Lepisosteus oculatus: one gene and its partner. The protein of the gene in region 2 binds, or shares a complex with, the protein of the main gene of each other region. Links are inferred from orthologs where the notes say so. Each region holds a gene or a part of one and is shown on either strand. Other genes may lie near its edges. The genes, in order: tubgcp5 and tubgcp6.

What was found.
Region 1: the proteins of tubgcp6 (region 2) and tubgcp5 are in contact, whole or in part, in a cryo-EM structure (PDB 7QJE), measured with the Homo sapiens proteins. The link is inferred for Lepisosteus oculatus from reciprocal best matches to the Homo sapiens genes TUBGCP6 and TUBGCP5. Residues at the interface, in NP_065194.3 of Homo sapiens: Glu290, Ala291, Ser292, Lys293, Arg294, Arg295, Cys296, Trp297, Glu298, Arg299, Val300, Gly301, Cys302, Pro303, Pro304, His306, Arg307, Glu308, Glu309, Pro310, Tyr311, Leu312, Glu314, Lys322, Arg325, Leu326; in NP_443135.3 of Homo sapiens: Asp211, Asp212, Arg213, Trp215, Leu216, His219, Val220, Val221, His222, Trp225, Ser230, Phe232, Pro233, His234, Leu238, His239, Ser240, Asn241, Leu242, Leu264, Val265, Thr266, Glu267, Thr268, Gln269, Arg272, Val302, Thr303, His304, Leu305.

Annotation. Positions count from the first base shown.
Region 1 is NC_090710.1:22,064,142-22,073,048, forward strand, and holds the start of tubgcp5 (gamma-tubulin complex component 5), read left to right. Parts: upstream 1-5,315; 5' UTR 5,316-5,819; coding exon 5,820-5,953; intron 5,954-6,168; coding exon 6,169-6,222; intron 6,223-6,330; coding exon 6,331-6,439; intron 6,440-6,823; coding exon 6,824-6,920; intron 6,921-8,097; coding exon 8,098-8,177; intron 8,178-8,907. Other genes in the region: chst7 (carbohydrate sulfotransferase 7), read right to left, coding at 690-1,943. UniProt on the Homo sapiens protein: Component of the gamma-tubulin ring complex (gTuRC) which mediates microtubule nucleation.
Region 2 is NC_090702.1:48,760,027-48,768,709, reverse strand, and holds the start of tubgcp6 (gamma-tubulin complex component 6), read right to left. Parts: upstream 3,167-8,683; 5' UTR 2,932-3,166; intron 2,913-2,931; exon of another isoform or gene 2,715-2,912; intron 2,615-2,714; 5' UTR 2,439-2,614; intron 1,623-2,438; 5' UTR 1,547-1,622; coding exon 782-1,546; intron 687-781; coding exon 523-686; intron 47-522; coding exon 1-46. UniProt on the Homo sapiens protein: Component of the gamma-tubulin ring complex (gTuRC) which mediates microtubule nucleation.

The DNA of each region.
Region 1 (8,907 bases), on a different chromosome or scaffold from region 2:
AACAAATCTGTTCCTTATGAAAACCAAGCATTACTGTGGTGAGTAATTATAAGGGTGAGACAGGTGTTTGATTTTACCTTGCAGACTGACAATTTATTCTATGAAGGCCGTGTCATGGTTAGGACACAGCTGCCCAGAGAAAAATCTCAAGTAATCAGATATAATTTTAAGAATGCATAGAAAAAAATACAATAGCATCATGTATTAAAAGATGGTTTCAATTTGTGTCATCAGTATAGCTAGATTATTTCCCTCATGATATTAATATGGTCAAAATATGATATGATCAAACTATCCAACCCTACCAAGAAGTCTAAAACTTCCAACTTCCAAAGCTGAAAGGGGAACCAGAAATATTTAGCATTTCTTTTTGCTGTAATAAAATCATTGGATTGTGTTCCTACTCAGTTCAAACAGATTATTATTTTGGATGAGTAGTTGAGAGATTTTTTATTCTTTAAATTGTGATTTACAATTCTTAATTCTTGCAAATAACTTCTGAATTTATAACTTACAATTAAGCCGATACTATTAAATGAATATTAGATCAAATTACAGTTAAAGACAGGGCAGCTATCACTGGTAACACAATAGCAACGTCTGGATGTTCTAACACAATGTATTCATTGTGTATTTATTGGCGAAACGACATATTAATACTGTACCTTTGTTCACATTTTCGTTCGCCTCTATGTTTTGTCCACGTTTGTTTTCTGATACCCCAGCTTACGCATGACCTCGCCGCAATATTTCTCGACTTGAGCGACCTGTTCAACGCTTAACCTCTCTCTCCAAGCGTAAATGGCTTCCTTGGCATCCCTTGACGAAATAAGAAAGGGCCTGTCCGAAGAGTAACCCTCGCCATGGGTCATGTTTATCACGAACTTTTCAATGGCTGGCGAAGAGGTCAGATTGGAGAAACTGTACAGCCTCTTCAGTTCCCGCACTGGGTGTAACACAAGGTCCTCGTAGCGCAGGTGAAGGTAGTTCCTTCTTACCCATTGGGGTGCGTTCATGATGTGCAATATGTCGTTGAGCCAGTTATCGCATATCACCTCCATAGCGGTAGATACATAATTCTCCACTCGCGTGGACCTGTTGGGTATGAGAAGGCGCCTGTATTTTTCCGTCTGTTTCCTGCTTCTCAGCACTTGAATGCTTTCTTTCACCAGTGCCTGTTTAGATTTCAATCTGGAATTGTGGACCGCCCGGGGGTCTCTGAACAGCTGAATCACCTGGAGGTTCAGCCCGGGGTCCCTAATCAAAGGAACCAGGACACCAAGATCCAGGACCCGCACGTCTTTTATGACAACAACGGGATACTTCTTGCACTCTCTCTCTAATTCCCTGATGTCTTTAGGTTGGCACTTGCCGCAGACCTCTCCGTTTATCAGCCCAACGTCGTCTCTCCTGTGAGCACTGCACAGAGGCTCGGAGCAGATCACCTTGTTCGTCTTCCATCCGAAGATAAATGAGGTAGTGAGGTTTTTGTTGCCCGTGTAGAGTTTTAAAACGGAGAAATCGCAGCGGTAGAGGGAGTTCATCATGTCCCTCACCGCTCCTTGGAGACTCCCTGCATCACCCGGGTACAGGGTCTGCCACATATTCCACATGGGTTCATACAAATAAAACACATCAGGATGCTGGTTAAATAACTCCCCTAAAAAAGATGAGCCTGTTCTCCAAGTTGCATGAAGATAAATGTGTGTTTTCGTTTGGCTCCTATTGATAAAATTTTCCACCGTCTCAGATTCGTTGCTGGATTTATCTCCAATATTCCATAACTCCATTGTGGTTTCCAAATCGGGGCATTTTGATAGTGGCAGTTCATTCCGGACCTGAGCTCTTCTATTTCTGTATTCCAACACATAAGGAATGAACAGGAGCAATACGGAGTACACTATAATTAATATGAGATATTTCTTCTGTAGCCTCCTCTTCATTTCCTCAGCGACCGAAGCGCTTAGCGCACTCCTACTGATTTAGCACCCCTACATGAAGCCTGACTCCGGCTTTAGACAAACTTTGAGTTAGAAAAAAAACCGGTATTGTCAATCGCCTCTGAACACGCCCACTGCATTTCAAAATAAGAGCCGATAGTCACGTGTGTCCCCTTTTCGCAAACTATCCATTTTCATTAGAATGGAACTGTATTTTTCCACAAATGTACAAAACGACATAAAAAGAAACTGTCACGGGGAAAATAGCATGTTTTCAGCTACGGGCAGACTTTTGAAATACATGCAATTAAGAAATGTCCGTTTTGAGTTACTTGCCAATAAAAGTCGATGTATTACTAAATCGAGTTAAAACTAAAAAAAATGTTAAAACTATGGAAATCGCTTGAATGAATAAAGTTTGCAGCTGTGTACTTTTCCCTCAAAATTGTTATTGTAATTTACTGCCATCAAGCATTTTGTGACAAATGAAAAGGTTGTGTTTCTGTGTAAGCTACAGAGCTGCACTTATAAAGACATCTATTTCTGAGTGTTGGGTACAATATGCAGGAAACTACGCAAGATTTATAGACTTATTTCTCTTCTTTGTGCAGCATGGCGCTGTAATAAGGTTAACCTGGCATTTTCTTACAGCTGCATCGAAGTGTTTGGGAGCATGGACAACCATCGACAGGACTGTTCACTGAACTTCCAACCTCGGCCAAGTTTCAGTGGTGTAAGCGAAACTTAAATTCCAAAATCCATTTCACATTTGACCAAAGCCCCGTTTAAACAATAGAGTAAGACGTAAACAGCTTAAAACACTGTAAAATCTATTTAGTGTGCAGCCATGCCAATTTATGTGACAAAACCTTGATAAAGCACACAGCTGTCAGAAAAACTGCTCCGAATTCATTCAGATATATCACTTACTCTGGCACAACATTTTAATTACCCTACTGGAGATGTAGCAGATGCACTGTTCTTGGAGAAAAATGCTGTCTTCCTCTGCAAATATACATTTGGACACCCCAACAGATTAGCACCTTGTCAACTAACAAACATTTTTCCACATATTTAATCCAATTAAATGAGAGATTTGTAGGCTCGTGTATTTTCTTTAAGTATTCTAAACTAGCTGTATATATGGTACAATATTCCCCCTTGACCTTGTGTGCTTACAAAAACGTTTGATCTTTTAATACAGAATTACCAGAGTTACATTAAACGGGACTTTAAAAAAAAACAATTTTTAGTTTTAATAAGAAACATGTATCTGAAGCACTGAACTCAAAATGTTCTTGTTGAATGCGCATATTGTACATATCTTCAAATTCGCATTGTCTTCATCTTGTTGCCTTTGTACTATAGTAAATTAGCAATAGCAATAAACAGTGAAGTTACTGATGCTGTTTGTTCTACTTTCTAAACATGACCTTTTCTCACAGAATATTACATGTACTGTAGATAAAGAGCACAAGGGGTAGATATGGAAGCTCAATTTTCTAACTGGCTAAGGTATGCCTAAAACCAGAATTTCAACCCACATATCATTGGAAATAGATAAATATGTCCTGTTTTCGTAGTTTCCTGTTCTACCAGGGTATCTACACAAAGGAATGCCACCATCACATGCTTCATTTGGAGATGATTTTGGAGTTTCAATTCACTTTCATATGAAGGAATTTTATTTTTCTATGCTGAAGTCTTGAAGGTGCCATATAATGTGTTTGCAAAACAATAGTTACTTAGTTTTTTTAAACGCTTAAAATGTATAATGACAAAATACAGAAGTAAACAACAAGAGATTGTAGGCATTGCTATAAAAATCAGAAAATAGTCATATACTGTCGATATCACGTGTAATCACATTATATATTTTATCTCAAAAATGCAACGTGCTTCGTGTTATATCTCCGATTTGGAAACATCATCTTTTATAAGATAAGATAACTTTATTGGCCATATACAATTTCTTGTATTAGGAATTTGTCTTTTCACATACCCCAGCTTGCGCTCCGTGAGACACACAGACAGAGAGAGAAGCTTGAGGTCAGAGCACAGGGTCATCCATTTATATGGCGCCCCTGGAGCAGTTGGGGTGAAAGGCCTTGCTCACGAGCCCAACGGAGTAGGATTTCTCTACCGGCCGCGGGATACGAACCGGCAACCTTCCAGCCACAGGCACAGATCCTTGCAGATGGCCCAGATTAAACCCAGACGTCACTTCAGAGTGTCATTTGTATGGAAATAGGATTTTAGGGAGTAGTCTGTGTAGCTTTTCAATAGACAGGCCTTACTTGACTAATGTGTTAGGTTTATGTGTAAAAACAACAGGAACATACAGAGCATATGAGACAGTATATTTACATTTTCAGGAAGCCTTTACTCACAAAATTGCTTTTGGTAGGCATTCAGGGTAATGTGTATGATTAGAGTGAAAATTGTTTAATGAATAGAAAACTAAGAATAAAGATAAGAGCTGAATACTCCAACTGAGGAATGTAATTAGCCTGTGGTGATCTATTTAAGGATCTGTCGTCTTTCTAATTTATATCAACAACCTAGATTCTGGTGAAGTTCTAGTTATTTAGCTAGTCAGGTTTGCAAAACCAAATTAGAACAAGCCGCAAACCCTGTAAAAGTAAAGAAAAGTCTGGACTGGGCTCACACTAGGAAGATGATATCTAATATAGACAAGTGCAGAGAGATACATGCAATGAAAAGAACCATAAACTGTACATGTGAGATGGGGAGCAACCTGCAGAAGCTGTGAAAAAGCCTTAGGTGTCTCTGCTAACACATGCTTTATGTTTTCTAGACAAGGAAATGATAAAAAAAAACAAAGAGACGTTTAGATTACTTAGTTAAAAGTGTAAGATTTAAATTGAGGGATGTTATATTAAAATTGGAAAATGCACTGAATGTAAGATCATAATTTAGAAGACTGTATAAAGTTTTGGTAACTCTGTTACAAAAGAGATATTTATGTTTTGGAACCAGCTCTGAAAAGAGCCACCAGATTCCTTTTTCAGGCTTAAAGAAATGGCCGTGGCTGACAGGCTAAAGGATCTGCGTCTTGTCATTCCAGAGAAGACTAGAATTCTATTTTCTGGAAGTCTTAAAAATGATCATGAAGCAGAATACAAATACAAAATGAAGAAAAAAAAACACTTTAAAATTTGGAAATAACAGAAAAGGGCGTAAAATACACAATATGGCTAAAGAATATACATAACATGTCCTTATTTGGTAAGAATCAAAATTACACTTAAGATTTTGCTTTATGTTTCTCAGGTCTCTGCTTGTAAAGAAGTCGACGTCTACACGTGCTGTTTCTAGTCTTCGCTTTTCCAGGGAAAGTAACTGCTCGGCCAACAGAAACACAGAGGAGGGAGGTTCGGTTGGTAGGAGCCGCTGTACACAGCAGTGATGGCGGAGTCAAAACAATTCTGTATTCAACAGAGAAGTAGCCTTTGTATGATACATAATTAAAAATAAACAGTTAAATAAGAACAAATCGTTTATAGCCGATATCGGGATATTTAACTGTTGCATGCTTTTAAGCGAAGGATGCTGTACATCTAAGCTACGCAAAGCAAAAACAAGCGATTTCTGATAGTGTGATTGAACACAGTTCGTACTCGTATTTATTGTAAGCAATAATTTCGAGTTGGATGTATCGTCTCATGTAGTTTATGGTTTTAAGCTGTATTGGTTGTGCTCAACTCAAAGCCTATCCCTTCTGCATACTTTGACCACACATACGAGAGAGTCCGGATGATCGTGCCTAACGTTTACAGTAGAGTAGTATATATAGTCTGTATAGTATAGTCTATAACTATAGAAACTGGCACCGGAGGTCCCTTACTTAGCATCACAATGGCTCACTGGACGAAATTTGAAAAAGATTTGGAAATCGATACGAAGAGGCTAATAAAGCTCATCAGTGGGATACAGGATGAAGAAGACCAGAATTTCCAGATGGCATTAAAGTTTGCCTGGACCAATTTCAGGTGAGGGTTTCATGAGTGATCCCAAGGCTCGGGCCTGAATTCACATGGCAGAGGAATGTATTTGCTGCAGTCTTCATTCTCAAAGGCTGGCTTTGTCACTGACAGTACGTTTGTGAGAGGGACTAAAAGATCCGTCTTCACATTGAGTTGTAGTTCTTTTGCCATATATGAACCAAGACACTGACAAAAGCATTGTTATGTGTTTAAATTTGCAGGTTCCATCGATACTTAGATGTCAACAGTCACAAGGTGCAGCGTACAATCAGTGGGTAAGTTCAGTCGATCAAGCAGATTAAATATTCTTCTTTCTGAGGAGATTCTGAAGATCAAGACAAAGCGCCTACAAGAATGTGACACTTTTTTCCTTTTTGTTTCAGAATCCATGAAAAGCTAATAATTCACTCAGATCTGAGCAAAGCTACAAGCTGGAAACGACTGACTGAAGAATTTCTGAATGCACATCTTCCAAACACAGAAGGAACAAAAGTGATAGATTGTTATACATCTTGTGAACTAAACAGCTTGTTTCTAAGATTTAAGATTTAAGATGTGATAAGATTTATTGTCCATTGAGGGAATTTGTTTGTGGACATCAACAACAACAAAATTGAGCATCACTCTATTGCACATTTATAACACATAATAACATATAACATATATAACATTACAAAACATGTTGCACACAAGTGGATTGTAACGATAAAACAATGTTTATCCTTGCCATTTGCATTGACAGCTTTAATGGAAAGTGGAACAAAGGAATGTTTGTATCTGTTTGACTTACATTTGAGAACCCTAAAACGTTGTTGAAATGCGCTAAACTAAAAACAAGAAAATTAAAAAAGCATTTTTTCTCTTTTTTTTTTGCAGACAGAAACCCATCACAGTATCCTAGCTCTCCTACTCTATCTTTCTGATTCTCCTTCCAACACAGATTACACTGAGAGGCCACGGCTGAAGGATGCTGGTAAGTTAATGGACATTAACATAGCCACAATGAGTAACTGGTGTTCACACAACACAAACTTTGTGTTTTGTGGCCTTTTTATTATCTCTGTATTTTCCGTAATAATATATCTTAATACCCAGTATACTACTGGAATAAAGATGAAGCATCAGCACACAATTAACTCTATAAAACATGATAGGTGTTATTCATCTGGCAGAATGTTGCAATAATTGAGTCGTCAGTTTAATTCTGTGCCAAATGTTAATCTAACACCTGTGAATATGGTGCTTTCTATGATAGTCTTAGTTGCTGTATCTTAGATTTGGCATTTTGACTATCCTAATACACACCTTTGAGAGACAAATTCCCATGAGCCATTACAATGAAGAAGTGTGCACAAATAATACAGTACATTTATCATCTGCATGTCACTAATTGATTTCCCCAAAGCATGCTGTCTCATTCTGACTCAGCATATTACCTAGACTTTTTGGAGTTGTTTGTTTGTCTGGGGGAACTATGAGCACTAACAATAACAGAGGCTCTTCTGAGATGCACAGCAAAGTAAACAACGGTAACATTTACATAATAAGAACACCTCCTGTAAGATTCATTGTTCTGACAATGAAGGTTTTGTTTTAAACAGCAGTACCAAAAGCGCAACTAATTCCAAAAATCTTTGAATAATTTGGAGCTCCTGATTCCAATATTCAGGATTTAAATGTTTGTTTGAAATGCATGCCAGTTTTGAATTTTTAAAAACTTTGGATGGAGATAGTACCCATCTCCAGGCAGCAGTGTGGAGTAGTGATTATGGTTATGGACTCCTTACTGCAATGTTTTGGGTTGAAAGGTCAGCTGCTTTTGTGCGCTTGAGCATGGAATTTCAGATCACTTCAGTGAAATCCCCAGCCGTACAAATGTAAGTTACTTTGGACATAGCGTGTGTTAAAAAATACGTTAATCTCTGGGATACATTTCATGAACTCTCCTGTGGCTTCATATTACCATTTACAGAGTGAGCATTCTCCTGAAGAAATAAAATCTTCTGAATCTTTAATCTGCACTCCCAGTTGTTTGAAATAAACCTTAAGATCTGTCAAATGTCAGAGCTGCTATTTCATTTTCACATTTTCTGTTTCATATTGCTTTCTGATTTTTGATAAAACATTCGAATTTATTTTATTTTTTCAAGAAAAAGAAGACAATTTTGACTGGGGTAAATATTTGATGGAAGGAGAAGATATTGACATGGGCCCTTTTCCAGACACTCCTGTAAGTGAAAGGATACTAGTTTTCTTAAATCCTTACTGCCTTATTCAATAGCTGGCTTGCACTATTCATTACTGAAAATACTTTCTTGCAGAACTTATAGGAATGTTTCTCAAACCGATCAAGCTTCAGCTAATGTCAAAAGTATTTATGCTGTTAAAAGGTACAAAGAAAATACTTTCAATAATTTCCAATTATTTTTCATGAAAGGCAAGAATTAAAGTTAGGTTTCATTTTAATGCAGGAATTTCTGCAAAAAAAAAAGATTTTATTCTATAGTCCTGCCACCTCTTTCCCTAGACTTCAATCCCATTGAGATTCGGTGGGTTGACTTGTAGGCTGGTATCAAAAAGAAGAAGTCAAAACTGCCTGCAAAATTCAAAGCTAAATCTCTTGAAGACGCACAAGACTATTTTAAAGATAGAAAAACACTGCAGGCTATAAAGAAATATTTATGAACTATGAATGTATTACAGTATGTAATATTTTATTTTTGTATGATGAAGCTGAGTTTCTTTGTCTTCCAATATTACTCATGTTCTATTCCTTAACAGACTGGGACTTTAGTCTATATAAATAATTGACAAAAACACACTTCTGCTTTACTAATTTTTATTCAGTCAAATGTTACAGAGTGGGTTGTTCCCCATGCATTGAAAGTACATGGTTAATAAAAAGTGTTTACAATTCATTTAAACTTTTTTCTAACATTCAGTTTTCTAAGTATTAAGTT
Region 2 (8,683 bases):
CCGTCCGGCTTCCGACAGGTAGGGCAGCTCCTTCCTCCCGGGGGGGCTGGACAGGGAGAAAGGCAGAAAGACACGTGCACAAAGAGGAGGAAAGGCAGGGACAAAGAGTGGTGGGAGAGGTGAACAGAAGAAATGTGCATCACAACAACTGCCTGGTGTACCACAGAACCCACCAGGTTACAAACTCAGCTAGCCCACTCCAGTCCGTCCAGTCAGCCCTTCTCCTGTGGCCTTGTCCCTCCTGAAACCTAGCAGATCTCACGTCAGCCCCTCGCCAACATCCCACAGAGTCTCAGCTCCCACTGCTTAACTCCCTCCCCAGACTGCTGCGAGCACAAACACCATCTCCGCCATCCCCTTCTGGAGCTAGGACGCCCTATAGACATCTGCACTAACGCCCTTCTTTCACCTTCCGCACTCCTCTGCGTCTGAGTCTCGTTGCCCTCAGTGCAAAAGGCCTTCCCCTCTCCTGCCCTGTACTGCCCTCACTGGGGTATCTGCCCTCTCTGCCCCCCCCCTTACCAGCCGATCCCCTCCCAGCAGCGCCGGCGGCCCGGCTCGAAACTCCGCAGCGCCTCCCACACGTCCGGCTCCGGGCTGGGGCTCGGCTCGGACTGCGAATCTGGCGTCAGGTTTGAGGCAGACTGGAACCCCTCGTCCTCGGACTGGTCAAGACTCGGGGGGACCTGGGGTGGGGTGGGAGCAGCGGAGAACGGGTCAGACGGGCCGATCCGCACGCGCGCGAGACGACGGGCCGCGGCGCGCCCAGCGGAGCTCTCACCCGGATGGCCAGCCCCGTGAGCTCGGCGTTGCTGGGCACCGGGGGCAGGTCCAGACGGATCTCCATGTCAGAGGTCCGGGTGTGCTGCAGGGCTCCAAACAGCGAGAGGCGCGTCTCCTTCTCGTAACGCTCCCTGCCCTCCCCCGCCCTGCCCAGCGCCAGCAGGCCCGTGCCCGTGCCGGGGGGCGCCTCCATCAGGCCCAGGGTGGTGCAGAGACCCCCCAGGGCCCCCCACTCCTCCCCACACACCAGGGCCCAGGCCTCTGCTTCCAGCCGCCACAGCTCGGCACTATCGTAGCCGGCCAGCGGGGGGCGCCGCAGCACGGGCCTCTCCCTCCGCATGAAGTCGCGGCTGTAGGAGGGGGCGGGGGGGGGCGCGGAGCCCGCCAGCTGGACCAGGAGCTCCAGCACGGAGTCCAGCCCCCCCGGCGCCCCCCCCAGCCGCCCCAGCAGCTCCTCCAGCTGCGCGGCCTCCTGGCAGCAGCCCGCCACGCGCAGGTCGAACGCCAGCATCAGCACCTTGTTCCGGGGGGGCGTGGCGGGCGGGGGCGGGGGGCGGCGCGGGGCCCCGCCGCCGCCGGGGGGGGGCTCTCGGAAGAGGCGGGACAGCAGGGCCCCGTAGGCGCGCCGCCGCAGGGCCCGCCGCGCTGCCTCGCGGCCCCCCCGCCACGCGCGCGGCTTGCACGCCCCTCCCGCCAGGTGGGCGTCGCACAGGGCGCCCAGCAGCTCCGTGATGCTGCAGCTGCCGCCGGAGACGCCGGCCATGGCGCTCCCTCCCGCTGGGCTGGCGGCCGCGGTGACGCACTCCCGGCCTGCAGGGGGCAGCGCAGGCACAACGCACCTGCAGAAACAAGGACAGGCGCTAAACCAGCGGGGTTCACAGGGGTGCTGTCGCGCATGCCAAAGCCCAGAGCTTCTACATGGTGCTCCAAAAGAGCGCTTCAGACTCTGGTCTTCTGGTGGATAATCGCTTCTCAATATAGCGCACTAGTCACGCAGGGTATGTAAAGCAGGTGGCAGGGCAGTTAGCATTGGCCCTGGGCTCAGTTTCTGGGGTGCCGTCTGTGTGGAGCTTGTATGTTCTCCCTGTGTTCACAAAGGTTTCCTCTGGGTGCTCCAGCTTCCTCCCACAGTCTAAGGACATGCTGGAGGGTTAATTGGCTTTTGAGAAAAGCGTCCCTAGAGTAAGTGAGTGTGTGTCTGAGTCTGTGGGTGCCCTGTGATGGACTGGTGTCCTGTCCAGGGTGTATCCTGTCTTGTGCCTGTTGCTTGCTGTTCGACTGGGACAGTCTCCAGCTCCACTGTCACCCTGAATTGGAAGAAACATGCTGCACTGCTGTGAAATGACACTACATACACACACACACTACATCAGGCCTAGAGACTTCACGAACGACAGAAACTCTTATGTGACCACTAACTGGTTTCTGAAAAGCACACTGCACTTTGGGTGCATTACAGATATTTTATTCCCCACGGTTCTGAGGCACCTGATGTGTCCTGACTGCGTTTCATAAGATCACTCTAAAAGTTACAATGTTTGCATGTTTAAAAACGGGTTTCCTGAGTTCAAAGGAAATAATTTTAACGTCTTTGTTCAATTACACGATTGTGAGGGGAAAATGTATATAATGACTAGAAAACAATGGCAATTTACCCAGGTTTCCCAAAACGTATCTGTTCTCTCGTATACCCTCTGGTGATGTATGCGCACCAACAAGTCCGTGCAAGTAGGGTACTGTTGCCGTTTTCTGTCCCGGGCAGCAGTACATTCTGATGATGCCGGCTAAATCCAATTCTTTGCTTTTGGAGCCTTAAATCTGAACCTGAATTCTGTAGTGTTAACACAAAAGATGTTCTAGTAATTTCTAAGAAATCGCGCCAGAAAGAAGCGATAAATCTATGACACAAGAGCACGAACACCGATACCTACCAAGATCCGATACTCACTGCAAGGGCACTCAACATCAAGGTATCAATCAGCACATCATCTTTTGCGCCAAATGAACGATACATTACACTCGATCTTAGCCAAAAGGCCGAGAAGCGAATATGCGAAAGCGGAAATCGTTAAATGAACGATACATTGATCACAATCACTTAACCTGAACAATCGTTGAGATGCATTAACGGAACCCATTGAATCATACCTGCTGTAGTGCTACGATGCTCCGATTTTGGTTACTATTTTACCAATCAAGGTCCCAGTGTGGATTAACATTGAGACGAGACCGGGCACAGCTATTATAATTTAACTGATCTCCTCATTTCATTAACCTTTAAGCTGTTTTATGGAAGGCAAAAAAAAAACAACAACACATTTATTAATACAGACAACTGTATCCACAATCCCTATCACTTTATTTTCCTTAACTACCGCTCAGCCTCCACTTGGCCCGCCCACTCTGAGACTTCATTGGTCTGAAGCGAATGAGGCCGATGTTCGATTGGGTAATAAATGATGACGCCAGGTTTGGGTTTTTTCAGCAATTTCCGCTCTCTTTTCTGCGTTCTCATTGGACGGGAAAGCGCTGTCACTCTTCCCGTATCCCGTATTCCTATTGGCTGATCTTTGGCCTCCCGCCACTTCAATGGCCAGGCTACTTTCGCAACCATTTCCCCCGCAGTGACAGTTATAAGTTAACCCGCCTCCGCCACTTCTGCAAAAAACAAAAATCCTATGTGTTTGCATAGCAAGAGCAACCTCTCTACCAGCTGCTGTCAGTCACTGGTTTTAGCGTTGAGGAATTAATTAGTGTTAGCAGGGACAGGTATTCACAAATTAAAGCAGTCGTTCAGATTCGCAATAATCTTTTTTTAGGAACAAGTAGTAGGTTTATTCCATGCTGAAAAGAAGGGAGAAAGAAAACACAACGTTTCGGCCGTGAAGGCTTCTTCAGGTGTGAGAAAGACAAGGCAGTAAGCAAAGGTAATGTAGCGGGAGAACAAAAGCTGAGAGAGGAGCCGTGTGCAGAGAAAAACCCCTAACAATGGGTGCAGGGCCGAATTAGGCCAGTACCCACTATTGATAAACATACAGAAAAGAGTATTAAAGTATTGGCTACACCTAAAAAAACAGCGACCAAAATTCCTACCACCACAAAACCCTGCTGAGCCCAAAACAGAGCCCCCTGAGCCAGCTGGTCCTGAGTCTCACCGACCTGAGCCACACCAACCCTAACCAGCCTCAGGACAGCACTGCTAGAGCACCACAACCCAGACTCAACCACATCACAGCACAGATCAGACAGCAATATCTCACACACTGGGACACACACACAACATAAACTGGAATGCTACAGAACCCTAAACAGACAATACACACTAGCCGAATATTTGACCAAGATAAGAAACAGCAAAAAGAAACAGACCCTGACGAAGTACAGGCTCAGTGACCACAGCCTGGCCATAGAAACTGGGCGACACAGGCAGACCTGGCTGCCCAGAGAGGACAGGCTGTGCTCCCACTGCCAGCAGGGAGAAATGGAGACAGAGGTGCACTTCCTACTGCACTATGACAGATTCTCTGGGATTAGAGAAACATTCTTCCCTAAATTCAGAAATCTAATCCCAGAGTTCCCACACCTGCTAGAATCACAACAGATCCCAATCCTACTGGGAGAGGGAGGAGGGAACTCAGTTGAACTGGCAGCCCAGTATGTGATCTCCTGTCACAGCCTGAGGAACAGTGAGTCTGTCTCCCAGTAATGCTCAACATGTTTACAGTATATGAAAATATTTTATATGTCTTTGTTGTAAATGTCTGTAGATTTTTTTTTACTTTTATTTTTTTTGTTCCATGTGTATTTTATTTGCTTTGGCAACACTGATTGTAACCATCGGTCATGCTAATAAAGCACCTTGAATTGAATTGAATTGAGGGGCGGGAGCAGGGGACAGAAAGAGAGGCCAATCAGGAGGTGTGAAGTCAGGATAGATGTAGAGAGTTGTGAAATGAAACCTCCAATGAATAGAGAGAATTTAGAAGAAAAGTAGTCTGTCGTTAAGAGAAGGGGGAAGGTGTGATCCTAGCTGCAGGATAATTTTGCTTTCTGTAGTCTTTCTGATGTATGAGTTCGGAAAACCACCTTTGAGAACACAGACAGAGAGATTAGAGTGGTCGTGGCCGTAAGAGGTGAAATGAGAAACAATGGGCTTGGAGAGATCTTTAATCTTTAAAGCCCTGATGTTCTCTGAAGCGGTCTCCGAGTCTCCTTCCTGTTTCCCCAATGTAGATGGCTGGGCATTTACTGCAAGAGATACAGTAAATAAGGTTGCTGGAGGTACAAGATGCCATCTGGGTGATCCGGAATTGTCCTGAGGGGCCTTGAATGAGTGTGGTGGTGGATGTGTACTTGCAGGTGATACAGCGAGCTCTGTTGCAAGGGAAAGTGCCTGGTGTGGATGGTTGCTGAGGGCGGTCAAGGGAGCTGTGAACAAGAAGGTTGCGCAGATTAGGTGCTCAGCGATATGAGATGATAGGGTGATCAGAAAAGAGGGGCCCAATGGAGGGATCATCCTGTAGGATGGAGAAGTTGATGTTAATAGTCCTGGGGATAGGAAGTGTGTTGGGGTGGTAGGGAAGCACCAAGGGAATGCGGTTGTTACGGCGGGAGTTCCTGATTGAGTTGATGGTCCAAGGAGTGTTTTTGGCTCGGGCAAGGGCCCTGTCAATCACACTGCTGGGGTATCCTCTGTTGATAAGAAAGGAGCACATTTCGAGGGCTTGGTTCTGGAAGTCGATGTCGTCGCTGCACAATCGTCGTAGCCGAAGGAACTGTGAAAAAGGGAGAGAGTTTTTAGTGTGTCTGGGGTGAAATTAGCTATACAGGAGATAGCTGTGTGAATCCGTGGGTTTGTAATAAATAAAAAGTGCAGAGTCGGGGGTAGTTGATGGAGAAGTTGATGTCTAGAAACGGCAGAGTAGTGGAAGATGTTAACCGTATATTTGAGGGACGGGTGGAAGTTGGTGAAATGATGCAGGAAGCACTCAAGCTGGTCGTTAGAGCATGTGGCAGCACCGACGCAGTCATCAATATATCGCTTGTAGATGCCACAGCCAGTGTAGGAAGCGAAGAAGCGTTCTTCTACCAAGCAGACACAAATATTGGCGTAGCTGGGTCCCATTCTGGTGCCCATGGCAACTCCACTCACCTGTTTATTATTGAAAGAGAATGCGTTCAGTGTGAGGACCAATTCCGCAAGGCGTACCAGGGTGTGGGTGGGTGGATCAAGCACTGTGCGTTTGTCCAGCGTGTGCTTGAAGGCTGTAAGGTCGTCATTATGGGGAATGACGGTGTAGAGAGATGTGATGTCCATGGTAAAAATGTAGCATTCGGTGCCCTGAAATTGGAAATCATCAAAAAGTTGGTGCGCGTGGTTGGTGTCCTTGATGTATGAGGGAAGACCTTCAACCAGCGGTCTCATGAGGCTGTCGAGAAAGGCCGAGATGCAAGTAGTCAGACAGCTGCATGCTGATACGATGGGGCGTCCAGGGGTGTCTGGTTTGTGGATTTTGGGGAGGAGGCAAATTGAGACCTGCGGATGTTCAATGGGGTTCAACGGTTCTTCTCCTGGGGGAGCTCCTTACTGCCGATAAGAAGGGAGATGGTGGATACCACTTCTTCCTGGTAGTCAGTGGTAGGGTCCTGTTGGAGAGGGAGGTAGGCAGAAGTGTCAGTTAGTTGTCTAGAGGCTTCAAAGATATATAGATCCTTACGCCACACCACAACAGCGCCTCCTTTGTCCGCTGGTTTGATGACGATATCATCCCTCTTGTGGAGAGACTGGAGCGCCTGATTTTCTCCTTGGGTGAGGTTGGACCTGTGTTTACTGGGTATAGAGAGTGTCTTGGGAGCTTGATTGGTGCATTGGTTAATGAAATAATCGACTGGTGGAAAACGGCCAGAGGGGGGAGTCCAACAGCTCTGTTTGGGATTAATGTTGTTAATGACATCAATAACTGGGTTGTTATCAGCTGCCTGTGAAGAGGAATCGTCAGCAAAATGTGCTCCGAGACGGATCCTGCGGTAAAAGCGGTTAAGGTCGACATTGGTCTGGGAATGTCCAGCTTCCTGGGAACTGGTACAAAACTGAGCCCTTTGCTGAGGAGGGATCGCTCATCCTGTGAAAGGGAAATGTCAGAAGGTATGGTGACAACAAGGTTAGGATTGGTGAAGGTGTTTGGGGTGTTGATGGTTTTCTTCTGTAGAAGATGACTGAGTTTTTTATCCTTCTCTGTAGTGAGAAACTGGTCGAGTTTAGAGTTGAGAGATCTAATGAGGTTAGTTATAAAGGGAAGATGATGTTGAGCCGTCAGCCGTAGAAATTCCTTAGCCTCTTTGATGCTGTTGTCGGAAAGGGTAATCTGTTTTTTGAGGGAGAAAATAATCATTTTTAGTCAATTGAGAACACGTTTTCAGTTTCATTTTGGTGGAGTCATTAGATTTGAGAACACAGTGGTCCTGTACTGGACGCCAGGAATTAATGTAAAATGGGTTGTTACTTCATCACTGCTGGTCTTAGTGGCGGGGGGTGACGATGAGGGTTCAGGCAGTCAATTACGGACGTTTTGAATGAATGAACGATAGCAGCCGTTATCCATAGCTACCCTGACAGGATGAGGGCGTGTGGCAGATCGTACGCGTGCCTGTCTGTCATTCTGCAGAGGGGTGACGGGCCAGTCACAGGGCACGCCCTGCCGGTTGTGACGTAGCCACACTGCCCGGTGCGCGAATCCAATAACGGCAGCTGGTCAGCTCGCGGGTTCACGGTTTGGACCCTGTTAGGAGTCTTGGTTAGAAGGCCGTGTTCTCTCGTTTTTAAGAGCTGTTTATCCGGCACTTTGGAGAAATAGACCTCCCACCTCCACCTAGTTTCTGCTTGTGGCCCCTGAGCGAGGCAGATGAAAATGTGGATACAGCTTTAACGCGCCGAGGGACACAGACGCACTGAGCAGCTGCAGACCTTTCTCAACAAACTGGAGAAACTGCAAAATACTTCTTGTAGTTAGATTGGGTGCTCAGCTTTCAAAGGGTCAAAGGAACACACCGGCATTAATCCTGGCTTGTGCTCGGTCAGTCTCGTTCACCTTCACATATTTTGTGTCTGTCACACTTGAAGAAGTAAACCTGCGCTACACTTGATTCTTACTCGAACAGTCTCGTGTATACAACAGATGTGTAACGCTTTGGTTAATCCATAGAACTAATATGAATATTAACATTTAATTCAGTTTTTATTCTTGTCATGTGACTTTTCTAAAATTTCAATACTCTGAGGTGACATACTGGTTAAACAAAACAGCTACAGATCACCAAATGCAGATATTAGAATTCATTGCTATGTAATGTAAATCAGAGTTTATGTGCAAAAGAAGTGTTTTTAATGGGTGACTTCAACTTCCCCCCCATTAGAATGGGAAAATCCTGATGAACTGTCTGCAGCAGAAACCAAATGACATGGTTAATAACCGTCTTAGTTTGACGCAGCTCTCACAAGAGTACTGTACATCTTTTCAAGCAATGAAGAGGGAGCCAAGCAGAGGTGAAACAACCATTAGGGATCTGGGAAGTATACTTTGAAACTGTACAGCTTGGATTCAAGTCCAAGTTCAAGTTCATTTCAGGGAAGCAGGCTGAAGGAATGGGACAGAGCAAAAGAAGATAGACAGGATAGATATGGATGGCAGCATGATTCTGTTTGAAGTGCCGAACAACTCCTGTATATCCCAGACATGAATAAAAGGAAAAAGTTAACAATAAAATAAACTGTAACCAGGACAATAATGGGAAACCTTAGTGACAACAAAAGGGACAATGTGCCTTAATCATCAGATTTACAAAATTCAGTATTAAACCGTTTTGTTTAATGACATGAAGGTATGAAGAGTAAACTTTGGGA